Danio rerio: one gene and its partners. The protein of the gene in region 6 interacts with the protein of the main gene of each other region in a pairwise test. Links are inferred from orthologs where the notes say so. Each region holds a gene or a part of one and is shown on either strand. Other genes may lie near its edges. The genes, in order: ndrg4, gad2, tufm, acsf2, sucla2, arl6ip1 and snx15.

The links.
Region 1: the proteins of arl6ip1 (region 6) and ndrg4 interact in binary tests that used the Homo sapiens proteins (3 or more experiments, as listed by UniProt). The two-hybrid records come from large-scale screens. The link is inferred for Danio rerio from reciprocal best matches to the Homo sapiens genes ARL6IP1 and NDRG4.
Region 2: the proteins of arl6ip1 (region 6) and gad2 interact in binary tests that used the Homo sapiens proteins (3 or more experiments, as listed by UniProt). The two-hybrid records come from large-scale screens. The link is inferred for Danio rerio from reciprocal best matches to the Homo sapiens genes ARL6IP1 and GAD2.
Region 3: the proteins of arl6ip1 (region 6) and tufm interact in binary tests that used the Homo sapiens proteins (3 or more experiments, as listed by UniProt). The two-hybrid records come from large-scale screens. The link is inferred for Danio rerio from reciprocal best matches to the Homo sapiens genes ARL6IP1 and TUFM.
Region 4: the proteins of arl6ip1 (region 6) and acsf2 interact in binary tests that used the Homo sapiens proteins (3 or more experiments, as listed by UniProt). The two-hybrid records come from large-scale screens. The link is inferred for Danio rerio from reciprocal best matches to the Homo sapiens genes ARL6IP1 and ACSF2.
Region 5: the proteins of arl6ip1 (region 6) and sucla2 interact in binary tests that used the Homo sapiens proteins (3 or more experiments, as listed by UniProt). The two-hybrid records come from large-scale screens. The link is inferred for Danio rerio from reciprocal best matches to the Homo sapiens genes ARL6IP1 and SUCLA2.
Region 7: the proteins of arl6ip1 (region 6) and snx15 interact in binary tests that used the Homo sapiens proteins (3 or more experiments, as listed by UniProt). The two-hybrid records come from large-scale screens. The link is inferred for Danio rerio from reciprocal best matches to the Homo sapiens genes ARL6IP1 and SNX15.

The regions. Positions count from the first base shown.
Region 1 is NC_133200.1:14,289,094-14,293,208, forward strand, and holds the start of ndrg4 (protein NDRG4), read right to left. Parts: upstream 2,801-4,115; 5' UTR 2,700-2,800; coding exon 2,679-2,699; intron 30-2,678; coding exon 1-29. UniProt on the Homo sapiens protein: Contributes to the maintenance of intracerebral BDNF levels within the normal range, which is necessary for the preservation of spatial learning and the resistance to neuronal cell death caused by ischemic stress.
Region 2 is NC_133199.1:6,326,889-6,330,388, reverse strand, and holds part of gad2 (glutamate decarboxylase 2), read left to right. Parts: intron 1-771; coding exon 772-945; 3' UTR 946-3,500. UniProt on the Homo sapiens protein: Catalyzes the production of GABA.
Region 3 is NC_133178.1:12,129,051-12,133,034, reverse strand, and holds the start of tufm (elongation factor Tu, mitochondrial), read left to right. Parts: upstream 1-1,184; 5' UTR 1,185-1,205; coding exon 1,206-1,242; intron 1,243-1,815; coding exon 1,816-1,862; intron 1,863-3,271; coding exon 3,272-3,410; intron 3,411-3,984. UniProt on the Homo sapiens protein: GTP hydrolase that promotes the GTP-dependent binding of aminoacyl-tRNA to the A-site of ribosomes during protein biosynthesis. Also plays a role in the regulation of autophagy and innate immunity.
Region 4 is NC_133187.1:28,300,066-28,303,565, reverse strand, and holds part of acsf2 (medium-chain acyl-CoA ligase ACSF2, mitochondrial precursor), read left to right. Parts: intron 1-930; coding exon 931-1,038; intron 1,039-1,117; coding exon 1,118-1,269; intron 1,270-1,357; coding exon 1,358-1,499; exon of another isoform or gene 1,500-2,685; intron 2,686-2,724; coding exon 2,725-2,835; exon of another isoform or gene 2,836-3,317; intron 3,318-3,500. UniProt on the Homo sapiens protein: Acyl-CoA synthases catalyze the initial reaction in fatty acid metabolism, by forming a thioester with CoA. Has some preference toward medium-chain substrates. Plays a role in adipocyte differentiation.
Region 5 is NC_133181.1:10,995,481-10,999,646, forward strand, and holds the start of sucla2 (succinate--CoA ligase [ADP-forming] subunit beta, mitochondrial), read left to right. Parts: upstream 1-1,366; 5' UTR 1,367-1,379; coding exon 1,380-1,463; intron 1,464-3,667; coding exon 3,668-3,863; intron 3,864-4,166. Other genes in the region: nucleotide triphosphate diphosphatase NUDT15, read right to left, coding at 1,073-1,113. UniProt on the Homo sapiens protein: ATP-specific succinyl-CoA synthetase functions in the citric acid cycle (TCA), coupling the hydrolysis of succinyl-CoA to the synthesis of ATP and thus represents the only step of substrate-level phosphorylation in the TCA.
Region 6 is NC_133178.1:29,901,632-29,905,763, forward strand, and holds the start of arl6ip1 (ADP-ribosylation factor-like protein 6-interacting protein 1), read right to left. Parts: upstream 2,801-4,132; 5' UTR 2,677-2,800; coding exon 2,641-2,676; intron 1,772-2,640; coding exon 1,638-1,771; intron 1-1,637. UniProt on the Homo sapiens protein: Positively regulates SLC1A1/EAAC1-mediated glutamate transport by increasing its affinity for glutamate in a PKC activity-dependent manner.
Region 7 is NC_133182.1:19,941,065-19,944,564, reverse strand, and holds part of snx15 (sorting nexin-15), read left to right. Parts: intron 1-394; coding exon 395-544; intron 545-637; coding exon 638-847; intron 848-3,500. UniProt on the Homo sapiens protein: May be involved in several stages of intracellular trafficking. Overexpression of SNX15 disrupts the normal trafficking of proteins from the plasma membrane to recycling endosomes or the TGN.

The DNA of each region.
Region 1 (4,115 bases), on a different chromosome or scaffold from region 6:
ATCCCATAAGGGGTTTCAATGTCATGTTCCTGAACACACAAAAACAACAATTTCAGCAAAGAGCCTGAGAAACTGTCAGGATGGATCTAAAATGTTGTGGGAAGTTACTTTTAAAAGTAACATTGGATTACATTTTTTTCAAGTAACTAAATTCAGTACTTAGGTACTTTTTGAGGAAAGTAATGCATTAAGTTACTTTCCCATTACTTTTTTTCATCTGGGCTGGCTTGCTTGTTTGCAGGGCTCCACACAATTATTTCATATTGTCCTAACACAAATCTAAGTTGTAGCTTAAATACCCTAATTTAGATACAACATACTTGGTTAAAAATAGGTTTAAAATGTTTTTTTTAGTTGGAATTTTGTAGGTAAAACTTATTAACTAGACCAATCTCATCCCAGTGTCATCAAGTGGCCAATATTGTGGAAGAATCTGGCATATTGAGCTAATTTTTTGACATTGGGACGAAACTGACCCAATTTTCCAGTTGTAACTTAAATACAACAGTAATTTAGATGCAACATACTGACTTGAAATGAATTTAAAATATTTTTTTTGGTGAAAATTTTGTAGGTAAAACTTAAACTGGACCAATCTCATCCCAGTGGCTAATATTTGGCAAAATCTAGTATATTGAGGTACATATTGACATTGAAACGAGATTGACCCAATTTTCCAGTTTTAGCTTAAATATGACCCTAATTTAGATGCAAATTACTGACTGAAAATGGGTTTAAAAGGTTTTTTGTTGTTGTTGTTGTTGTTGAAAATTCTGTAGCTAAAACTTGTGAACTGGACCAATATCATCCCAGTGTCATCAAGTGGTCCATATTGTGGCAAAATCTGGCATATTTAGCTACGTATTGACATTGTGAGAAGACTGACCCAATTTACCACTTCATACAGGCTAAAATGTGGTGAAATCTAATAAGTCATGCTTTATTTTTTGTATCCAAACACAAACTATAAAATCAAAATTTGTTCCAATCATGTTCTAATTTCAAAAGGCAATCTATACTCAGTAAAATATTGTATATTGGGCTAACTTAAAAATCAAGTTTTAGCTTGTTTAGATGCAACAAATTCAGCTTAACAGTTGTATCTTAACACAAACTAAATAAAAGGAGGCAGTCTGCCAGAAATTCTCATTTCAGCCTGTATGTTTTGACACAAACTAAAACATTGATTTATATTGTAGTTACTAAAAGGGCTGCCAAATTTTTAATGGGCAATAAAAAATGTATTTAATCGAGAGTAAAAAAAAAACACAACTAATTAATATCTTATTAAGCGTCTCCGATTCCTGTTCATAGTCATTTAACACACTTTTAATTGCCATTTCCAAAGGCATTTTAATCTGAACTGACCCACATTCACCGTCAGACTTTACTCCAAGTGGAGAAGCGATGGATGTGTGTTTTTTTCTTGTCCTATAAGGATTATTTCAGAATCTCTAGCTTTCCAATGTTATGCACAAATCCACGCAGACACCTCGCAGGCAGCCCCGAGCTTAATGCAGATCCACAGAGAGACAGGGAAATAAATCTCCTGTGGGCTTTAAGCCCCTGTCAGTGTGTGGTTTTGATGTTAGTGGAAAATAAAAAATAAAAAAATAGTGGAAGCTCAGACCGGATGCAAGTGTATTTGTGCGAGTTAAGGACAGCTGTTTGTGTAACTCTGTGTTCGGGTCAAAATTAAATCTCATAGCAGCTGTCACTGTGTTTTGCAAAATGTCAAGCATGTTTTCTAGACAGACAATATGGAACAAACACTGACGAGATAAACACAAAATCTGACCTAGATATGACAATATTATGCACAAAACAATAGTAAAGCAGTGCGTCGTGAGTTGAAGTACTGCTCTTTTTTAGCTGCTCGTTTTCTTTAAGCTCAAGGTCACACAATCGTCCTTGGATGAGGATTTTTATGATTAGATCGCAGATTTGGTGTCAGTTTCACAATGCACAAACACACATTTCTAAACACACACACTCCAGGTCACTGCAGAGGTACATCAGTGCGCACGTCCCACACGTGGCAGTGTGTTAGTGTGTTAGTGCAAATGGCCACCTCATACATGACTGGACATTTCTGCACAACACACAATATCAGCATCACGCTTTCACCAGATGGAGCTTTTTATTTGATATTTTATTTTATGAATATATCTATTATATTATCTTATATCATATTATATTATATTATATTAAATATAAAAAATTATATATATATATATATATATATATATATATATATATATATATATATATATATATATATATATATATATGTTTTATATTATACATTTATGATACAAATGTACACATTTAGCTTTTTATTAAATAATAAATAAATAAGATTTTATTTTAAATGATTATTTTTATTTCAATATAATTACTAAATAACCATTAGGATTGATAAATTGAAATAAATGATAATAAGTAGCCATCAGGCAAGTATAAACATGCATAGATCTGTAATGATGGAACTGGTGCACAATACCAGTTCAGTAGGTCAAGCTAATTATTTCAAGCATGCATAAGGCTAATCAATTAAATATACATTCATTTGGCTAAACAATAAAGAATGACATGATAGCACATGTATTAGTATTAACAAATAAATAAATAAATAGAATCCTGTGTTTACATCCTAAAATCATAGATATCCCACTCACCCCATCCCAGCACTCCGGCATGGTAGCTTAGAGATTGTGTACGCTTGCTTAAAGAAGTGTAGGGAAGAAAAGGAGACGACAAGGTCCTCTCTGGACAATTGCAATCGGATGCAGGAAAGCAAAGAGATGCTGCGGTTGCTACGGCGTCTCTTTGTCTCTCCTCGTCCTGTCAGGGCAGTTTTGCAGCACTACTTGTCCCCTCCCCCGACACATTTCACATCCCACCCCATGCATTCTGATTGGATGACTGCACAAAATGCCAGCATGTGAGTGGCTCAGCTTGGTGTCAATCTAACTCTGTTGTTTTTCATCTGGATTTGCCCCATATTTGCTATTTTCATCCTCCACATGCACAAAACAGCCTTTAATATGACTTCTTGATGCAATTTAATACATCAATAGAGCGCTATATTCCAAAATGATATGCTTTTCTATATAGTAATTCATCATTTAAATAAAAAAAGACACAATACACACACCAAACTAGACAAGAACTCCGATTTCATAAAAAGCCTTAAGCATTACTGTCAATGTGGCTTGCTTTGTGACAGTGTTTGTGTGTGTGCGCTTCCACAGGAGCACGTGATAAAGCACTCGAGGCTCGTGGCCCACTTTTGAGGCATGGATGTGTTTACATGAGCTATATTCTATATTATACAGCCTCTGAATTTGAAATCCGCACAGTTTTGTCTATTACAACTGGATGTGCTGGCTTTTCTTTGTGGATGTGAAAGATTAATCCTCGTGTGCCTGACTTTGCTTTTGCAGTCTCACTTAAACGCACAAACTCTTCCCTTCTCTATTGCAAGTGTCATGCACAGGTGTAAATGCTTTTGCACTGTTGTTGTCAAAATAGAACGCGCCATACTTGTTACATAGTATGCACATGAACAGGTTTTTATTTAGAGCTCATTATCACTTTTTTGGGTTTGGTATTGTTTCTGAATAAGGTAACACTTTACAATAAGGTTCATTAGTTAATGCATTTAATAACATGAACTAATCATGAACAACACTTGTACAGCATTTATTAATCATAATTGAACATTTACTAATGCATTATTAACATCCAAACTCGTGCTTGTTAACATTAGTTAATGCACCGTGAGTTAACATGAATTCACAATGAACAACTGTATTTTCATTAACTAACGTTAACTTGAATTTTGCCTAAGTAATGTTTTATTCAGTACCAAACTGTAAATAATTACATGGCTGGCTTAAATTTTTAAAAATGAATTATATTAATGACTTACTGTTACAAGCACCAGCGATCTAGCCCATGCAGACCACTTAGAAATCTAAATCCGCCATTATATGGACTACAAGACCCAGTCATGCACTGCACACACACACCTGCTCTAGGTCTCCATTGATAAGACTCACACAGCAGAACTGATTCCATGGACCATAAAGTCAGCTCACAAACTCACAGAA
Region 2 (3,500 bases), on a different chromosome or scaffold from region 6:
CATAATTATACATACAGTTTATACATACAGTATATACACTTACAGTTAATGTCTGAAATTTTAGCCCCTTTTGAATTGCTTTTCCTTTTTTAAATGTTTCCCAAATTATGTTTAACAGAGCAATGACATTTTCACAGTATGTCTGATAATATTTTTTTTTCTGGAGAAAGACTTTCTTGTTTTATTTTGGCTAGAATAAAAGCAGTTTTTAATTTTTAATCACCATTTTAAGGACAAAATTATTAGCCCCTTTAAGCTATATATTTTTTAATTGCCTACAGAACAAACCATCTTTATATAATAACTTATAATTAAATATAATTACCCTAACCTGCCTAGTTATCCTAATTACCCTAGTTAAGCTTTTAAATGTCACTTCAGTTATTAGAAATGAGGTATTAAAATTATTGTAAAATCTTCTCTCCATTAAACAGAAGTTGGGGTAAAAATAAACCTAGGGGCTAATAATTCTGACTTCAACTGTATGTATATATATGCTGAAATATTATATATATATATATATATATATATATATATATATATATATATATATATATATATATATATATATATATATTGCCAAGTTCTCATTCTGTTTTTAAAAAAAAAAAAATCTAACCTGTCTTTTTAGTTTAAACCAACATGCTTTAACAACAGTAGATGGCACCTTATCTACGCGAGATTAGCTGAAACAACGTAAAACTGATGGATGAAGACTAATAGAAAAAGTTATTTCTTCATGCCTAAACTAATAAAAATGTTTCCTCCCAGGTTGCCCCTGTAATCAAAGCCAGAATGATGGAGTACGGCACGACCATGGTGAGCTACCAGCCACAGGGAGACAAGGTCAACTTCTTCCGCATGGTCATCTCCAATCCAGCCGCTACCTTTGAAGACATTGACTTCCTCATTGAAGAGATCGAGCGACTGGGGCAGGATCTTTAAAACTTACCGCACCAAAACCTGTTACTCCCGTGTCCCTGGATGGATTGCATATTTGTTGTGAATGTAACGGTAAATCTCTGATTCCTCTTCTCCAAAGTCACATTTAAACAAAAAAAGGATAATATGAAAATATCTAGAGTATAGTATTGTAGCGTCGTTGTGGGCTTCATGGTCCAGAGCCCTGTAAAAGTGTTACCGTCTGCTTTTACTGTCTATCTTAATGTCTTTGACATGACTTTGTTTGTTTACATGTTTATTGAGAATATGAAGAGTTGTTTGCTTCTATTCGGTGCAGATCATATGTTTCCATTTGAACAGTTATTCAAGGTGCCAGATTACATTGATATGTATACGTGACTATAGTATGATAGTAGAGACATATTAATCCAAAAGCACTTCATCATTTCTATCAAGATTTACAATTATTCGTTTTTAAAATAGTTTTTAACTATTATTTTACCAAATACTCAAAAATCAGCCATTTTTATTTGAAAAAGTGTCAAAAAAAGAGATAAAATTGGGTGCTTTATATAGTTTTACACTTCTAAAAGCTGATTAAAATTAACATTAAACATACAGTTGAAGTCAGATTTATTAACCCCCCCCCCCCTGAATTATTAGACCGCTTGTTTATTTTTTCCTTAATTTCTGTTTAACGGAGAGATGTTTTCAACAAATGTCTAAAGATAAGAATTTTAATAACTTATTTCTAATAACTGATTTATTTTTATCTTTGCCATGATGACAGTAAATAATATTTTACTTGATATTTTTCAAGACTATATACAGCTTAAAGTGACATTTAAAAGCTTCACTGGGTTATTTTGGTTAACTAGGCAGGTTAGGGTAATTAGGCAAGTTATTGTATGATGATGGTTTGTTCTGTAGACTATCGGGAAAAAAAATAGGTTAAAGGTTCTAATAATTTTGTCCCTAAAATGGTGTTTTAAAAATTAAAAACTGGTTTTATTCTAGCCAAAATAAAACCAATAAGACTTTCTCCAGAAGAAAAAATATTATCAGACATACTGTAAAAATGTCCTTGCTCTGTTAAACATCATTTGGAAAATATTTTTAAAAAGAAGAAAAAATTCAAAGGGGGGTTAATAATTCAGACTTCAACTGTATTTAGAAATGTAAATATTAACTTGTATCTTCTAATAAACACATCCCAAAATATTTATCCTGATCACAATATAAGAATTACCTGTCCACCTTAAAATATGTGCAATCATCAACAATATTCAATGTTCTTTTGCCTTGAAATGTGTAATTTCCAATTGAGTAAAGTGCAATAGTGGTTAAGTAAAGTAAAATGAGAATAAATATAATATTAATTCTTTAAACAATAGCATATGCACATCATATACAGTATTTAAAAAAATAAAAAAATAAATAAAATGACAAATTTAATATAAATACCTTCGCTTCCCTACATTACACAATAGCATTAGATTTCTTAATTTACCAACCCATCCATGCACTTGTTTAGCTTTCCTATACATAATGATAAATATTTCAGGGTATTAACAGAGCTAAATTTAATGTCATATATATATAAACTCCAAAAAGAAAAGAACGCATAAGCATACGTGGGGTTATGCCCTATGATAGTGTGTAAATAGTCTTTTAAGATGTTCTTGATCGAGTACATATCTATGTGAATACATCACTGTATTGTATATACGCAGAGTCTATTTGTGTGGTAAATAACATTATTTTCTCTATTCAAGAAATATTTAATCCTAAATGGTAGATGCGTTCTGCTTGTGTGTGCGTGCGTGCGTGCGTGTGTGCGTGTTGAATATGATGATTTATGTAACTGCAAAGATATGTGTATGGAGGATCCAGTGCATTTTAACACACTTACTCGAAATGATTATTATTATAGCACATTTGGAGAGCCATTTCTGAACCGATGCTGGTTGTATTCGTGCCCAAGTGGTTAACTTGACATCCTGTGCCGATTTGTATTTTCGTGTGTTTGTAACTGTATTGCCTTAGTATTAATTGCCAGTATTGTCTAGTTCTCCTAAAGAGGAGCTTGTGCACTTTAGCTTATATGTATGATGATCTGTCCAATGGATGTTCTTAGTTTGATGTTTTAAGAAACTTAGCGTTGTCTGAATGTGTCCAAGGCTTGGTCATCCGTTTGGGATGAGAGTTGCTTTATTGCTAAAATCATTTGTAGATTTAATGCTATGTTTCTACCTGCTGGAAAAGCACAACTGAAAGTTGCACTCCAAAAAATGATGTCGTCACCCAATATTTTTGTTGTTTTTCCAGTACACATATCGACATTTTAAAAGCAAGAAGCATCTACTTTAGAATGACTTGAGATAATGAGTCTAGTGGTCTTGAAATATCATTTTAAATTAGCTAAATTTGCTTTGTAAACAAAAACATGTGTGCCAAAGGGGTCAGAAAAATGTAAATAGAAAGAAAAGAAAGATTATTTTTCTCACCTCATTGGCAATCAAAAATAAATTACATTTTGAGACATGTTTTGGTAAACAAGACTAGTAAACAATTGACTTGAATACTCTCCTGTGAAA
Region 3 (3,984 bases), about 18 Mb from region 6:
GGAGGAAACCCACACGAACATCGAGAGAACATGCAAACTCGACACAGAAATGCCAAGCCGAGGCTTGAACCACCGACCTTCTTGCTGTAAGGCGATCATGCTACCCATTTCGCCATTGCTTTGGAACTTTTGTTTTTGATGCCTGTTTTTCATGTAATTGTAATTTACCAATGCACAATGAAAACATTAATAAATGCCCTCCTTGCATAGTTCTTTCACAACCTCTTATTAAGGTTTATAGTGTATAAAATAAACATTTTATAAGGATTTAATATACACAGAACCCATATTTAAAAGTAATTTACAGTTTTTTTGAACATTTATTGTATAACACAAAGTTACATTTGGTACATATCATTTACAATACTTTAATAATTAGATCATTAGCTCTGTTACCTGAGAGCCGCTGCTCCTCCACATCGAGAGAAGTCAGCTGAGGTGGCTTGTGCATCTGTTTAGGATGCCTCCTTGAAGCCTTCCTGGAGGCGTTCCAGGCATGTCCCACCAGGAGGAGGCCTCAGGGAAGACCCAGGACACACTGGAAGGACTATATGGCTGGCCTGGGAACGCCTCGGGATCCCCCTGGAGGAGCAGGAGGAAGTGTCTGGGGAGAGGAAAGTCTGGGGTTCTCTCCTGAGACTGTTCCTGCGATCTGGCCCCGGAAAATCGGTTGAAAATAAATGAATGAATGAATTACTAGATTATTTATAATGGTGCCAATAAAGAATGAAAAAGAAGAAAAAATATGAGGAAAAAACACAACAGAAATAAAACAGAACACAAAAAATTTAATAGGCTATTTAATCTGAGGATAGTTATTTAATACATAAAGAAATTGAGCAAAATAAGAAGATAATGTTATATTTTCAGAAATTTAGAGATTTAATAGAGTATACATATTAAAGGTCATGAAAATAGTACCTGTATATGTTTTGAGTGCTTTCTTATTAGGTGTACCTAGTACACTCATCTCTTGTACAAATGTTGGCTTGTGATTTACATTTATGAATTTAAAATCTGTATAAAAATGACAAGGCTTCTTATAAAGCATACATAAAAAAATGTATATAACAAATAATTACATTTGGAGTAGTAACGTACAATTTAGATGATTTACTGTAAGATTAAAAAACGTGTCCAGTGCGTCCAGTGTTGATGGCGTATGTGTATTTCTCCGCGCATGCGCACTTGTCACAGTCCGCAAAATGGCTGCGCTCGTTAGCGTCCGCGCGTGCCTCTCCGGTAAGTTATAAAATTCGCTTATTTTACCTTTCTCGTGCCACTGACACTATGTTCATGCAGCGAATAATCTGCGAAATATGTGTAATATTTGTGCAAATGCCGATGAGAGTGTGGAAATGGCAGTTACTGTGAAAACATGAAGGATGCTCGTGTGTTTCCCCAAGCAAGGTCACGTTCCTCAGGCTGTGACTTATATATATCGTACAGATTGAGTGGCATTATTGACATTAAAGCGTAAGATCTATCACAATATTTATATGATAGTTAAATATTTGTATTGTGTGAAGATCATACTTACGGGAAACAGATGAGGAGTGATTCGGTCTCGTGATGTTTTTGACAGTTGTTCATAATATAGCGACTTTGACGCTTGTAATATTTTAAGTTGTCCTCTGTTTATTAATGTGATGATAACATATTTTTAAGCAGATTTAATAGTCTATGTATTCCATTGTTTGCATTAGCACAGTATATTTATATATTATACAGTATATTTCCTGACTCGTGTTTATGAATGAATGAATGAATGATGATTTCTGTATTACATTTAAGCTTTTTTTGTTTGTTTTCCAGCTCTTCAGTTGACCTCTCCAAGTTTACTTCACAGCTCGTTTAAGCTGGTATGAGTTTCAGTTTTTTAAGTTTTTTTTTTTTGTTTTTATTAGTATGTTATTAAATGCATTATTATCTGTCATGGATTAGCAATTATTATTTGTTAATATCGAAGGAAAAGAAGATAAGTTAGATATTGTAAACTCCGAAATAATTGTGCAAAATATTTGTGACAAATTAGCCATACTTTGTTTTTGTTTTTTAACAGCCAAGTCCACAATGGAAGTCCAGGGCTTTATACCTTTTTATCCTCCATGGTTTTATTTCAAAATGTATGGGATTCTTTTTCTTTTGTTTAAAATCTGTCAAATAAAATTCAACTTAAATGCTTTATATACTTAAACTTGACGTTTGTCCAAATTCAATCTTTATCGGTTGGGTTAAAGTGGGTCAAAGGAATCTTGTCAGGCAAATTATGCAACAAGAATCATTTGATAACACATTTAAAGACTGTTTATCACAATGCAGCCTTAAAATACTCATTAATTGTCATTTTAAATCTATTTATATTTTGCTACTATTTTTCCAAGCACTTGATTTTAACCTATTTGTTAGCAACAAGTGTTTTAATCATCTAATATTAAAATATACTATATAATATAATGTTTTGATTACTTACTCTTTTATATATGGTTAGTATTTTGTGTGAATATTTATAGAATACTGAATGGAAATTGGAAATTGTTTCACTCATATCTGAATTTTTTAAAAATCTAAATGTAAAAACAAAATAAAAAGTTTTCTTTATAGAAAGGATAAAAAAAAGTCTTTAAAAGCCTTGAATTTAGATTTGAGAAGATATTTAAAAAATATTTTGGCTAAAACTATTTCTTCAGCCTGACAGACCCAAAAACTATTTACAATTACTATTATTATTATTATTATTATTATTATTATTATTATTATTAGACAGAACAACATTTTTTTAGTTAAGCCATCTAGTCAAATTGCAAGTAAAAATTAAAATGTGTGTCTGACATAAACATCATGTTCCTACAAAAATCAATAACACAACTAACAGAAGCAAAACAATGCAAAGTGTTTTTTTTTTTTATCATTTATGAATCCGTGGACCTATTTTAAATCCTCATATGAGCATGATCATTAATAAATAAATAAATACAAATTTATTCTTGCATACATTCATATTTCATACTCAGGAAGGTTTCAATCCAAAGTTTAGTCCCTGGTCAGTATTTATTTTTTTAAATCCTTAGCGTTTAGCCCTGATATGCATGAGTATTTTCATTGCAAATCTGATGATCTTAAATGTCTTATAAGTCAGTCTTAGAAAGGCCTTTAAAAATGTTTTCAATTTAACTTGTTAAACTCTGTAGGCACCCTGTGACATTTCCACTGGAGATATTTGAAAAAATAGCCTCATGTTTATTTATTTATTTAATTTTTTTGACCCTAGTGTGCAGTTCCTCTAAGTCGAAGGAATTTCGCTGCAGAAGCGAAGAAGGTTTTTGCTCGTGATAAACCCCATTTGAACATCGGCACTATTGGACATGTTGACCACGGCAAAACCACACTGACCGCCGCCATCACCAAAGGTACACTTTCAGCTTTATTTCATATAAGGGATGCTCCAATTGATTGTTCAGAGATTGGTATCGGCCGATAATTACATTTTATGACTCGATCGGTACTCTCCGATCTCATGAATCGATCACAGTTGTTGTTTACGGGTTTACACGTAGAGGAAGTGACACCCATGCATTGTATAAACTACCCCGAAAACCATGGAGACGAGTGTGTATTAGCAAGAGAACAGATCACAAGAGGCTCTGTGTGTTTTTAACATTATTGCAAGTTCACTAAAACCTGATTGAAAAAAATACATATAATAAATATACACATTTTTTTTACTTGAGTATTTAATAATATACCTTTTTGTATTGTACTAATTGCAATAAACAAATATGTATTTATAGGTGTGCATTTTAACATCTTATGCATCAAATATGCGCGCCAAATTTTTTCTTCATTGAGACATGTTGAATTACTTTCCCCTCATTTGTGATGTTTCTAAATGGCTTTGTTAGTCATTTTTCCCACCGCTTTTTTTTATTTTTATTTTTTATCGGTTTTATCTATTATTGTCTGTAAAGCTGTTTCTGACCATGA
Region 4 (3,500 bases), on a different chromosome or scaffold from region 6:
ATAATTTTCTTTTATTAATTTAATAGCTTTTCTAAACTTTAACATTTTATTACATACACATTATATAGTAATGTAATGTTTTATAATAATATTTTCTAATTTTTTTAATTCAAGAAAAATCTGAAATTTTGAAATCATTGTTATTGTTAATCATTATTTATTATTAATAATGATATTATATACTGCATAATATACATACATACAGTGCTCAGCATATATAAGTACACACCTCACAAATCTCTTTAAAATTCATATTTTTAATAGGAAGTTATGCAATATTATATTTGTGCATTCACATTAGTTTACTCAGTACTGAAGCCAAATCTGGAACTTATCTAACAAAATAATTTACGATAACGGTCCAAAAACTAGTACACCCAAATTTATATTATAGAAAAATATTAAATACAAATTAAAAAAAGGAAAAATCTAGAGAAGAGAAAAATGTAAAGATTTAGTTGAAAATGTGTAGGTTGTGATTTTTTTTTTTTTTTTTTTTTTTTTTTTGCAATTTTAGCTTGAATTTATTTGTATTATCTTTCAGTTTCTAAATATGTTTGGTGACGACTAAAATATTATTTTAATAGATATATCTGTTTAATAAATCTGTTTTGTTTAAATGCACCAAAATACATTGCTATATTCACTGAGAAAAATGAATACAAATATTCATTTACAGAATGGGGTGTACTCAATTATGATGAGCACTGTATACTGTTTACAATTGTAATTGTTTGTACAATATCATTTAATATTATATATAATAAAATTTTATGCTATATTAAGGCTCTTCGATTAGTTTTTTTTTAAATCGCTGTGCAGCTTCCTGAAATTTCTGCTTGAATATTGTCACTTGAATATGTTCATTATTAAAAAATTATATTTTTATGTGCTTTACTCTCACTGTGTCATCCTTGTGCTTTTGAACAGATTGGCTATGGCACAACTGAAAACAGCCCTGTGACATTCTGTGGCTTTCCTGTGGACAGTGCAGAGAGAAAGATAGAGACTGTTGGATGTATTTCCCCACACACCGAGGTGCACTTTCAAACACCACTTTATTAAGGTGCTCTTTAGGCATCAGTTCTAGCACACTGAATTATTGTTTCTCCATTAGGCTAAAGTCGTGGACCCTACAACAGGAGAGATCGTGCCTCTGGGGGCTCAGGGGGAGCTGATGATCAGAGGGTATTGTGTGATGCTGGAGTACTGGCAGGATGAGGAGAAGACCCGTGAGTGCATCACGAAAGACCGCTGGTACAAAACTGGGTAAGTGTGCTTGATACTCCTCATTACATTGTTATAAATTATATCCCAGCTGTCTTGACTGAGTGTCTCTGCTGTGTGGTTCATACAGTGATATTGCCAGTTTGGACCAGTTTGCATACTGCAAAATAGAGGGGCGCATCAAAGATTTGATCATCCGAGGAGGAGAAAACATCTATCCTGCTGAAATTGAGCAGTTTCTGCACACACATCCCAAAATTCTAGAAGCACAGGTCAGCAGCGTCTATAAAAAAATGTTTATATTTACCTTTAGCACTTCATAATTCTCAGAAACAAATTATTAGCTTCAATAATGTTAGCTGGAGAAAGTCAATATAGGCTACTGATATACTAGCAAAGACTAACAACTAACTAACTAAAACATGCTAGCAAAGAGTGTAAATATGGTATAATGCTAGTGTAATTATAATTAATGCTTGCATGGTGTTAAAACTTGGTACTAAAGTGTTAGAACCATCATAGCAACTTGCAAAATCTGCCTAATAATCGGTGCTGACAAAATGTAATTTGTGGTAAACTATGCTAACAATATGCCAACTCATTCTATTAACATGTCAAATGTGTTAAAAATAGCATGCTAATTCAAGTTAGCAACCTGGCGACCTGCTAGTAAAATACTAACCATTCTAACAACATGTCAATTGATGGTGTCAATGTGTCTTGTAGTAAATTCATTTTAGCCACAGGATATAGGATAATAAAACATGCTAGCAAAAATTTAAGTCTTATCTGTTTGGAAGCAACTTGTTATGTCATGCTAGCAATTAACTCACTGAACAGTTCAAGCGTATTGCCCATGTGTTAAAAATACTATCAACAAATGTTTAACAGGGTAGAAAAGTGAAAGAAATGGCTATTAATTGCTGAAAAAGCCTGTGTATGTTGGTAAGTTATGTTTTAATCCTGGTTTATACTGGTTCCTGCTGCTTCCCTACAGCACATGACCAGGAATGAATGAATAAAGAACCAGAAAGAACCATAAACCAGCATCCAAACAAACCTTGCCAGTGCATTCTGTTTTTTCATCAAGGATTAGAAACATGCAAGCAATGGCTAATGTTAGAAACAAATAAAATAGACATGCTAGTAAGATGCTAATTAATTCTGTCAACAAATTAAAACTTTAGCCTTGTGTTAAAACATGTTAGAAATGTGTTTAATCATGCTAACAACATGCCAATTCTTTCTAGCAGTGCTAACTGCATGGTTGCAACCTATAAAATCATGTAATACACGTGTTGAAATATTCTAGAAATATTTCAAAATCTGCTATGTTACAGTTGAATGAATTATGTCATGATATCAACATGTAAACATGGTTTAACTTTTAGTCCAGGCTTTTTTAACTGTGCTATCTGGTTTTCATTAACTGTTAGCCACCATTTTATAGTTAGCAAGGTTGTTTGAGCATTTTTAATGTCTGTTTTTTTCACACAGGTGGTTGGTGTGAAGGATGAGAGGATGGGAGAGGAAGTATGTGCTTGTATTCGACTTAAGGAGGGTCAGGAATGCACTGTAGAAGAGATTAAGGCTTACTGCAAAGGAAAGGTCAGGAAATTTGGATTCTCAAGCTTGTGTGTGTCTCCCTGCACATGTACACACTTGTTCACCATTAAAATGTTTATATACAATTTATTAGATTGTGAATATTCACTGGAGTAAATTTAATATGTAATTTAAACATAGAAATACACAAACAATTATTATTAAACAAATATAAAGAATATCTGAAATCATGTTACTTGAGTCATTTAGGAAATCTAATTCTTATATAAAAATAAATACATTTCCTTTAATTACATTTCTTCCATTATACTCAATAATCCATTTTTAAAATAAACAAAGTTACTTTCAGAGTTAAGCACTTCAATATACTTTTTTCCTTTATTTTTATGCTAAGAACAGATGTCATTGTTTATACAGAGATAGATGTTTTTTAAAATAAACCCACTTCTTAAAACATTGCCAAATAAATTGACTGTAATGATAATAAAAAGTGAAGACACACATGAAAATAATAGAAATAAACAGCAAAATTGTATAAAATAAGATAGTAATAAATAAATAGACAACCATACTTGCCCAAACTTGGTCCTGGAGGGCCAGTGTCCAGTAGAGTTTAGCTCCAACTTGCCTCAACACACCTGCCAGGACACTTCTAGCGAGCCTACTAAGAGCTTGATTAGCTAGCCCAGGTGGGTCTGATTGTGGTT
Region 5 (4,166 bases), on a different chromosome or scaffold from region 6:
CTTAAAAGTGAGTGTATATCCTTCATCGTTTAATAACTGTGAGACTAATAAAATATCGTTTTCCACCCAACTATAGAAAACTGATTAGTTTGGTCATTAATTTCACTAATTTGGCAACCAGCAAACATCATCAGGAAAATGGTTTGAATTTCTGCTTAGTAAAAAAACATTAGTGTTCTGTTTGGAACGACACTACATACATATACTATCCTGTTGAGTGAGTAATTGAAAAAGTACATAGTGCATAGTGTATAGTGTGCCATTTGGGGTGCAGCTTCTATATTCAGGAACAGGGTTGAGCACCCCTGGTCTAATGCGAGATGAGAACGATGTAAATTATTTAGCTGTATGCAAATATGGTTCCAAACTCTTCATTTAAAAAATAAATGCTTTTTGTTTTTGTACTTCTAATACTAATGATGACATGTGTGATGTTTTATGAACCAGATTTTTAAAATGTTTTTTTTTTTTTTAACCTGTTGTATTTGGTTATTTCTCTGATGTTCCCAGGGACAAAGTTCCACTCCTGTGCAGCTGTAACTAAAAAGGCACCCTGACCAAAGGCACTTTTCCAGAGTGGGACAATACAATCTCCCCGGGCTGCCCCTCATGTTGCTCTCTGTTTGGTGTTCCAAATAACCTAAATTAGTTTCTATTTAAGCACTTTATGATTTCCAGTAGATAAGTGTGATGATTCAATAACTTATAACAACACGCAAAAAGACACTCACTTGCTGTCATCTACTGGTTGAAAGATATACTAAAAGAAGGGCTGATTAAAAAGACTCACTATTGTGTGTGGACTCACTCTCTTTGTGGTGTTCCAAATACCTTAAATTGGTTTCTATGTAAGAACCTTTTGAATGATTTTGAATAGATTCGTTAGTGTGATGATTCAATAACACAAAACACAGAAAAAGACAATCACTTGCTGCCATCTACTGGCTGAAAGATATACTACAAGAAGAGCCGATTAAAAAGACTCGAAGAATCACTGAAATGATTCAAACCCCCTTTACAGGTAGTGGTGACACTGACCATTAATGGAAACCACACCATAGTCTAAACTTACCTATATCTTACTTGGTAGATGAATCTCCTTGCAGCAAGCATATCTTTCACGATTAAATCGAAGCTTGTTCACTTTGGCATACACGATTGGTAGCAAACCATTTCAAATCTTAAATTAAAAGCGGATATTTGTCATTAACACACGAATTGATTTAAAAAATAAAGCTTTTTGAATCATGAAGAAGGAAATAACCAACCGTGATAGACTATTCTCAAAGCACAGCTGCGCAACTGACGTAACGTTACGTAGAGACGCAGTCACGTCCAATCATTTGTTTTTCTGCAGCGCTGCTTCAGCACAGAGCAACATGGCGACGTCCCTGATCTGTGGCCGGTTGTCCGCTGGACTGAGGAATTCCAGCTCCAGGACGACTGTAAGCTCGGCAGCTAAGGTCAGTTTTGTGTATACGCGTCAGATTTTAATAACCGACTTCCATTAATGAAGTAGCTTTCTGTTTTGGTCACTTACAATGGCACCAAATGGGTAGTTCTCCTTTGACATTAGCACATTGGCTAACAGCCTGTCATTAATAATAATCAGTAATGCTTAGGTTAGCAAACCTGTTCATTATGTTCTGAGCGGGTGCTGTATTACTGTCTAATCCGAGATGTTTTCTGGGATTGTTAGAGTATTATGTTTGTTTGTATTCTTATCATGCATACCAATTACATGTCAGCTGGGTTTACGAGTTAACTTTGACCTACATGTAACTTACGGAGGGACACTCTGTTATGTTTTACTCTATGTAGTCCATTCACCTGTAGTAACAGCTGGTTGGTAAAGTAATCCTTAAACCACTCAGATTTGCAAATGTACTTGTTATAATGAACTATAAGTGTTAATATTTCTGAATCATACATTTGTTGAAATAATTGTTTGGTCAGTGAAAGGTTGTACCCTTGAGTGAGACACCTAGGTAGCTTACTTCATAATGTATCTAACTTATTTATATGCAGCACTGTATTGTTGATTACTTGGATGGTAATTTGTTGCTATTGTGTACATTAGAGCTGCACGATATTGGAGAAATCTGACATTGTGATATTTAGTTTTTCTGTGATTTATATATCTTCATTATACTTGAAAATAATTTTAGTCACATTTAAGTTCTCGTTCTTAGCAAACCATTTTGACTTTTGTTTCAATAAACTCCTAATTTTCTATTTATTAATAGTTATTAGGTTAGTTTAAGTGTTGGGTAGAAAAAGATCATACAGAACATGTGCTTTATAAGTACTAATAAGCAGCCAATATCTCAATAATATACATACTAATAAGCAACTAATGAGAATTGGACGCTAAAGTGTTACTGAGTGTATTTTGATTGACTGGGATGATTCTGTAGGGAAGTGAATCATCGTAACTTGTAATAAAGAAACTACAAGCATAGATAAATGCAACAAGGCAAAAATAAAAGTGAAATAAACCATGCATGCATTGTGGTTTTGTGTATGAGCAATTTCAGCGTCATGGACGTGACATTTGCAGTAAAAACTCAAAGGATAAATTCACATAGAAAGCAAATGTTAACATAATTTTGAAGCATTTGTTTATATTTTTCAAAACAACCAACCACAGATTTATAGGATCAGAAAAATATCCATCTGTAAACATTTTTTATATTTTAAATGAGGAAAATAAACATGTGTTATGGATGTGACAAAAAAGTTTGCGAGTTTACAGTATACAACATACGTTGTAGATAGTCTGTGAATTAAACTGCACAACCCAAAAGAAAAAATGCTAATCAAAAGAATAAGAGTCGGCTCACTATAGAACAAAAGTGAGTGGTTTCATTTTATTTGACATTTTTGTATTTATGAGGGAAATCAAATACAATAGTTTGAAAACATTAACAGAGACATTTTTGAGCAATTTTAAAGTACTGTAAATACTTTCTTACACAAAGAAAAGTAGAAACGGTTTCTCTATTTTGGTGAAAACCTAAATTTTTCTTTTATGGCAAGGTTGGCATTTGCATGGGATTGCTCATATGTAACTGTAAAAATGACACTGTAAAGTCAACTCAACATTGCATATCATTGCGATGTGACTATTGCGGATGCACACATTGCGATATCAATGCTGAAATTACATATTGTGCAACCCTAGTGCACATTCTGTTTTACTCATTCTTTTCGGCGTAGTCCCTTTATTAATCTGGGGTCACCACAGCGGAATGAACTGTTAAATGAACTGTTTTTTAATCCGGTGTCGCCACAGAGGCATGAACCGCTAACTTATCCAGCACGTTTTTTATTCAGCGAATGCTCTTCCAGTTGCAATACATCTCTATAAAGGATTACATTTAGGGTTAAATCATAATATCTTCAGATCACCCACCATTACCTTTGCATTATTTATTGTCAAAGGAGATAAACTTAACATCTAAAATGATTAATATCTTAAAAATAAAACAAATTTTAGACTTTTCTTGCATTTATTTCGCTTTGATGATTCCATCAAGCAATCACAGAAGTTGTGTTTGAATTGTAAAAACGACTATGGCTTTGTGGCAACATTATCCCTTGTTCAATCTCTTGTTTGCAGTGTTGGATTTAATTTGTACTATCAATATTTGCTTTCAATTACCAGGTGCTTGGTGGGACATCAGGTCTGTTTGGGCACCATGGGAACCAGCCATCTCCAATGCTGTCGCTGCAGCAGCAGAGAAAGCTCTCCCTGCATGAGTACATGAGCATCGGCCTGCTAAAGGAGGCGGGCATCTCTGTGCCCGCGGGGATGGTCGCCAGCACACCTGATGAGGCTTATACTGCTGCCAAGCAAATCGGTGAGAAAACATGAAAATATGCTGGACATTGTCTGAGTAAAGCCGTGTATTTTTGATAGGACTGCATTACTGTATTTGATGTGCAATACAGTTTTTTTTCAAAGTGATTTTAAATGAACAAAGACATTTTTCACAGTATTTATTGTATAAATACTGTGAAATTATATTGTTATATTAAATTAAATTATATTATTATATTATATTATTTCCTGCATTTTAAAAAAATTCATATTTCTTATATTTAAATAAAAATGGCCAGCCACAGAACAAACTGCTTTTATCCAATGAATTGGTTAATTATTA
Region 6 (4,132 bases):
ATCTAATATGACGTAATTGAGATTGATCCTTATGGTTAGTCAAATCATTTGGATTGTGATTTCTAGATCTGTAGTGATATTAAATAGTTTATTTCTTTATCATTTCTCAAAATGAACGATATTCAAGAATGTTGTGGGCTGCGAGTAATGTTATTGGTGTAAAGCATAACAAATCAGATGTGGCTTCCTTTGGCAGAGCAAAAATAGATTGTATAAGAATGGACATCAGTTCTGTAAACATGGATTTAATACAAATGATACTAACATCTCTTAAATCTAACAGTGAAAATGAGCTTACAGATCAAAGATGTTTGCATAGAACTCTTTATTTAAACTAATTTTGTTAGAATATTATGGTGGGTTCATTAATGGTTTTAGAGAATCCACAACCAGATCTTAAAATTTAAAGAAAAAAATAAACCCTGCCCAGCCCTAACAATGCAACATGAAATATTACTCCATGAACTAACTACACGTGATGCTGCGAGAAGTTAGAAAAACGTACCTTTCCTTTGTTAATTATTTATTTTTTCGTCCTACTTATCCACGACTGCAACACACATAGTTTCTAACTCAGAAATAATTTTTATTTCTGCAATATAGCAGCTAGAACAATAGCTCAAACTACTACTGACAATGCCCAGCACAGGTGCTGATTGTACAGTTTATTCTGTGGTAAATGTTAACAATGCAAGTTTGAATATCTCTTTTTGCAATATTTATTGCCATGATGAAACCTTCAGCAGATAGTTTACCTCAGATCTAGCCTACAATTTAAACACAAACATTATAACTGTGACTCCAGCTGCGCTCACACGGCACTTATTGCCCCATATAGTTCAATTCTTACGCATGGGAATGAGTCAGACAGGAAACGCAAGCTTGTGCGACAAGTTTCGCCTGATGTTGGATAGCAAAGTTTAAGCTTGGTGAACTCTGACCTGCAAAATCGTATCATGTGAAAGCATAAGACCAACTGAAGATCAAAACGTGACCTCACTGTACAGAAATGTAAAACATGGAGCAATCGCTCACTTTTTAATTTCTAATTATCTTGTTTAATCACAACCCTTTCCAAAGCACCATAAGACAAAATTTTGCAAGCTCAAACTAGTGTGATCACACCTTCAGTCACGTATTCAAGCATGCATCTCAATTAATGAGGTTTAGTATTTAAAAATTTTAATATTCAATTCCATTGGGAGTTCAGTGCACTGTTCTGTGCTACTGAATAACTGTGGTATTAAGATGTTGAATTATGTCTTGTGCAGACAGCAAAATTGCTTGTTGCTGGAAGCTTATGATGAATAGAGTAACTCTAACTGCAAACAGTTGTTCAATTACACCAAAACTGACATTTAAAAAATAAATAGCTATTAAATAGTGTAATGAAAGCACCAATTACACTGGTAATTATGATGTCATTCTGAAAACAAGAAAGACTGCACTATATACCACGGGAGAAATAAGAAGTTCATTTAAAATGCATTAAGGCACAAGCAAACAAGCAATAACGGTAAAAAACATTAAACACTTTCAAGGCTTTTAGCATGTGACCTCATCTGATTAACTGAAGTCAAAGATTAGGCCTCCAGTCAAGAAGTGGCACTAATGTACACTATGAACAGCAGACTCACGTGAAGAGGATTGTAGTAACGCTCACTAATGCACCAGGGAACCATGGCTTCTCCCAGCGCAGGATCTGATCTCCAGCCAGGATGACCTCTCCCCATCCCTGCAGTTGCTCTTCCAACTGACTCGTCTCTTGAGCCTAGAGAAATGCTCTGGGTCAGTATCAGTGTCAATACAATCGGCTCTCTCAAGTCAGATGACATGGCATTATCAGGGATTGTGGTAAAATGGGGAGTGCCATTAACTGTTGGGATGGGCATATCCTGCTGGCATGACAGGAATTTTAAAAGACACCAGGACAAAATAGTAACTAATAAGAAATGCATAGGAAAGTAAATGTGATGTATTAAAGCTAAAAGAGGAGAGCATGTGGCAACTGCGGAATCTTTTGTTCAAACTAACAGGCCACATTTAGGTTCAGCCCATTTACTTCCTCCAACTTTGCGCTGTATATCACCTATAAAGGAGGTTAAACCTTTATCTTTATCGAGATAAACCATACTCCTCAAGACAACTATACATCTTTCTTTACTATTAAACTTAATCTAACGTGATAGATTATCGAATGTCTCTAACAAAACTCATATCATCTTAAAATAACGCTACAGCCTACTGATATTTGTTTTAAAAAGGTACAACAATGTATCAACTATGACAACTAACCAAAAATGTGTGTGGGAAAGCCATTTACGTTAGCGAGATGCTTCATAGTAATCCGTGTTGTTAGCAGCGCGTTAACGTTAGCTTGCTAACATCTTACCACGCAGTTCATATCTGTGGCGTTTCTACTTTCTATTCTCTAAATTCACACGTATAAGTAACATTTTCAAATGGGAAAGATTGATATTTATGATACATAACGTATTCTTTTTAATGACTTTAAAATTAGGTTAAGATAGCAACAGCTGAAGCTCGTGTACTTAGCATTGCTAAAGACGTCGGTACAAGATGAAATACGTCGACAGCAAGTGAAATGCTTATAGGTAGAAACATTAACTTAACACTTACCAACAGATTTGCACTTTTATTGTCGCCCTCAGCCATGGTTTATTAGATGTTACTTGAGAGTTTAGGTTCCTCGGAGCACGATTATATGAACGCGTCTCCCCCCTCCACTGCGGCAGTCTGTCAAGCGACCGTTATTTTCAGGATGTTTTTATCTGAAACTCGGAATACAAGGACTCATGGGAAATGTAGTTCACGTTCAAAAATAGATGAGATGGATCAGAGGGAAGGCCAAGCCAGCCTTTCTTCGATCCCAGGGGCTCTGCAATGGTTGTGGACATTCCAAATTGAACCAAAACAAACGATTGGCTTAAGACTGGCTATGAAAATTCGGGAAAAGTGGTTCAACCAGCTGAGCCTCGGAATTTATACAAGTATCGAATTCTTCACAAACGGTGTTCAAAGAAAGACCTGAAATGTGTAACAATTGACAGTGAAAATCATCAGTTTAAGCAATTTCTGTCTAATTTTAATACAATCCATTAAAGGATTGAAAATATAACATAAAATAAAGCAGCTTGAAGCTAGTTTATGTTAAGACATTACATTTCGTACAAATTAGGCAAAACTGTCTTATTTCTTACTGTAGGGTGATATGATTGAAAAGGCACAAATTCAGACTTCATGTGACATTGTCTGAAAGTAAAAACATAAGGCAACAGGGATGTCCTCGAAACGAAGCTAAATAACGTTATTAGTTTTGGTAAACGAGTAAATGCAATTTTTAGTACTGATCATCAATTATCATATAATACAGTAGGTCTGTGCGACTAATTGGAATCAAATCGCAATTTGAACCATTGCGATGAGCTCACATAAAATATATTTGTATTATTTTATTTTTCCTGCCCAGAGCAAATGTGTGACTGCCGTATGTGTGTGATAGTCTAACCAGGCACTTGAATGAGCACAATTGAGTGATGAGTGTCTTGTTAAAGTCAACTGAAGGTATTGCCAGTAACACTTGATCTAGAAGCAAGCAACATCAAAGTATAATTTCAGAGTTGTTTCAGCCATGTTAGTTTGCTGAGTGTTCTGTATTTTTAGATTTATTTTTAATTTTAGATTTTATAGTAAGCTACACTATCTCCTTAATATGACTTCTTGTTTACAGAAACGTAAGGTCATTTTGTTTACTGTTAACTGTAGAGAAAAATGTGTTTCATTTCTGAATATTTAAAAATCAAATTGAATAAATGTTTAAGCTAATCTCTCTTTTCTTTTAAAATGAATTTATTAATTTTTTTTTTTTTTTTGTGGTTTTCACCTTAAATGGATAGGACAGTAGGGAGTACTGACAGGAAAGCGAGGGGAGCAGAGAGAGGGTAAGGATCGGCACAGGACTTGAGGCAGGAAACAAACTCTCACTGAGCGCACTGGAGTGCGTGTCGACACTCTATCCACTACACCAGGGGTGCTCAATCCTGTTCCTGGAGATCTACCTTCCTGCAGATTTCAGTTGCTACCCATATCAAACACACCTGCCTGTAATTAT
Region 7 (3,500 bases), on a different chromosome or scaffold from region 6:
TTTAAAAAGCACATAAATTGTTTTGCAATTTGTGATTTGTTTTAAGTTGAATAAAAGAAAAACATTTTCCATTCATATATTTTATTGAGGATTCCAAAAAAGTATTAAAAATCTTGTGAACCCTATCTCATGTCTAGTCTCATCTCGTGGAATAAGCATCTTGTCACACCCCTTTTACTAACCATTAATAAAGAGCCAATTAGACGTTTATTTGGAGGCAAAAGTCATAGTTAATAGTTAATATTGTGAATTGGTCTCCAAACTAAATCTTATTTTATCTAATTTAATATTTGATTAAAATTTAATAAGTTATTACCTTTAATGATGATTGTTAAAAATAAAAATTGCCATTAAAAATAAAAGTTTTAAACAATGGTTTACTGCTCCATTGCAGATGCTTCGCCTGAAATGCCAGGCTCTCCAATCGACCAGTTGGAAGAGTTTGATGCACTGTTTGACTCAGGATTGGAGGACTATTCCTTCAAAGCTCCGCCTCTGCTTTCAGACACAGACCTCGCTATTTTTGACCCTTGTGTCAAAGAAGGTGGGAGAATCTATTCAGTTTGACTTACCATGTCTACATGCAATTGTTTTTTAAAGCAAAGTCTCACTCTCATAGCTTGATTCAATCTCTCAGATCAACCGTACGGATCACCCAGCCATGCTGAACTCCTGTCTGCTCCTCTGTGTGGTTCAAATGGGACGGATTCTGCTGTAGATGTTAGTTATGTGTACCAGGCCAATGAAGAGCTGAATGCTGCCCAGGAACAAGAGAGAGAAGGCAACTATAGCACAGCCGTACAGCGATACAGGGCGGCTGTTGATATATTTATGAAAGGAGTGCAAGGTAAGACATGGAGGCTGTTTGCATGCACATTGCAACACTAATTGATATTTTGCAGTATGTAATACAGTTGAAGTCAGAATTATTTGCCCCCCTGTTTATTTCTTTTAATTTTTTGTTTTATTGTTACAATTTTTGTTTAAAGGAGAGATTTATTTAACGCATTTTAAACATAATAGTTTTAGTAACTAATTTCTAATAACTGATTTATTTTATCGTTGCCATGATGACAGTAAATAATATTTGACTAGATATTTTTCAAGACACTTCTATACAGCTTAAAGTGACATTTAAAGGCTTAACTAGGTTTATTAGGTTAACTACGCAGGTTAGGGCAATTAGGCAAATAATTATATAATGATGGTTTGTTCTGTAGACTATCAGAAAAAGATAGCTTAAAGGGGCTGATCATTTTGACCTTAAAATGGTTCATAAAAAATTTAGAACTGCTTTTATTCTAACTGAAATAAAACAAATAAAACTTTCTCTACAGTAAAAAATATTATCAGACACACCGTGTAAGTTTCTTTGCTCTGTTAAGCATCATTTGGGAAATATTTAAAAAAGAAAAAAAATCAAAAAGAGGCTAATAATTCTGACTTCAACTGTATATAATTGGTGCAAATTTTCTTTATGAAAAATGTCTGGATACTAAACACAACATTGGTTACATATCATATATTTAACAAAAACACACAATTGGGAAAATAGCATCCCACAATGCACTGTGCTTGACCAGACGTTCTATTTCTTGTGTGACTAATTAACTGAAAGGTTATGAATTAATTTTGAAATACAATTTAGAGACGCTGCTGTTCCAGAGTTTGTGGTAGACATAAATTTTTTTTAATGTTTCTTGTATTTTACAAGACTGCATTTATTGAATCAAAAATGTAGTTTAATCAACAATTTTATGAAATATAGGGTCACACTTTACAATAATGTTCCATTCGTTATGTTAGTTGTTTGTATTTATTAACATGAACTTAAATTGAACAGTACATGTACAGCGTTTATTTATCATATTTTAATTTGTACTAGTGCATTATTAAAATGTAAAATTGTGCTTGTTAACGTTAGTAAATGCACAGTTAACAAGAATTTACTATGAACATCTTTATTTCATTAGCCAACGTTACTAAAGATGGTTAAGTATTGTAATAAATGTATTGTTTATTGTTCATTTGTGATTGTCAATACATTAACTAACATTTATGGAACCTCATTGTTAGGTGTTATTGATATAGTTTATCATGTTTTTCATGTTAACTTATTTCAGTTTTAATATATTTTTTCAAATTTGTTCCTGTGAATCATTACTTTAGTTTTTAGTGTCACATGATCTTTTAGAGAGCATTTTAATATGTAGACATGGGGCCCGATAATGATTTCTTATTTATGTTATCAATGTTGAGTAAAATAAATATTCTTATTTTTCTTAGAAAACATATACAATAACCATATACAATCCAATCTAGCCCCAACAAAGCAATCCCCAAATAAAATAATACAAATCTGAAAAATAAAATAATAATAATAATGAAATAAATACAAATACAGAAAAAACTAATTATAAAAAACCGTATATATATATATATATATATATATATATATATATATATATATATATATATATATATATATATATATATACTTACACAATCCACATTTAAGGTTTTTAAATCATTAAAAAATGCAAAAAATTGTTGGCAGTTTTCCGACAACTGTTCTCCTCTACCTCTGATATTGCATTTAACATATTTCTAAAGGTGCTGGTTGACTTGACATTGTCACCAGGTGTCAGTAACAACCAAAGTAATTCATACATATAAAGCAAACAAAACTAATTAGTTTAGAAATTAACTTTTGTGTGTTCAAATAAATGAAATGACAAAGGGGAACAGTATTGAACACATGAAAAAACTGGGGTATTAGAGGTCATGGAAATCCTAGACAGCAGACAGCATGAATATAAGCTGCTTTATTCCAAACATCTACACAACCAGATGATGAAGATGAAAAAGGGTTGATATTAAAGCAAGACAATGATCCCAAACACAGGCAAGGAAAATCTCAATGGGTCTCAGAAAAAAGAAAATAAATCTGCTAGAATGGCCCAGGCAATCACCTGACCTGAATCCAATAGTAAAAATGAATTAAAGTGGATAGACAAAACCCACAGAACCGTCAAGACTTTTAGACTCTGTTGATGTTTGGGGGAAAAAATTACACCTAAGCAATGTATGCAACTCCATTCTTCATACTACAAGCTGTCATTAGCATAAGTACATTTCAGTAGTTCAGTACCTTTTTCTTGTGTCGTTCCATTGTTATTATGCATAACAAATTTTTCTGAATTGGATGTTCGGATTGTTTGATACAGAGTTTGAGTTGTTTGGGTTTTTACCAAAATATGCATCAAATTCATGTCAACAGCTCCTTTAGAAATAAATGGCATTTTCAATTTTAAATGTTTATCTTAACCACTATTATTATTATTATTATTTTTATTATTATTATTATTATTATTATTAATAATATTATTATTGCCGGCAGCTAGCTCTCTGCAACTTTCAAATGGTCCACCACTGGAGCTAAGCAGAGCTGCTCCTAGTCACTACCTGGATGGGAGACCACATGGGAAAGCTAGGTTGCT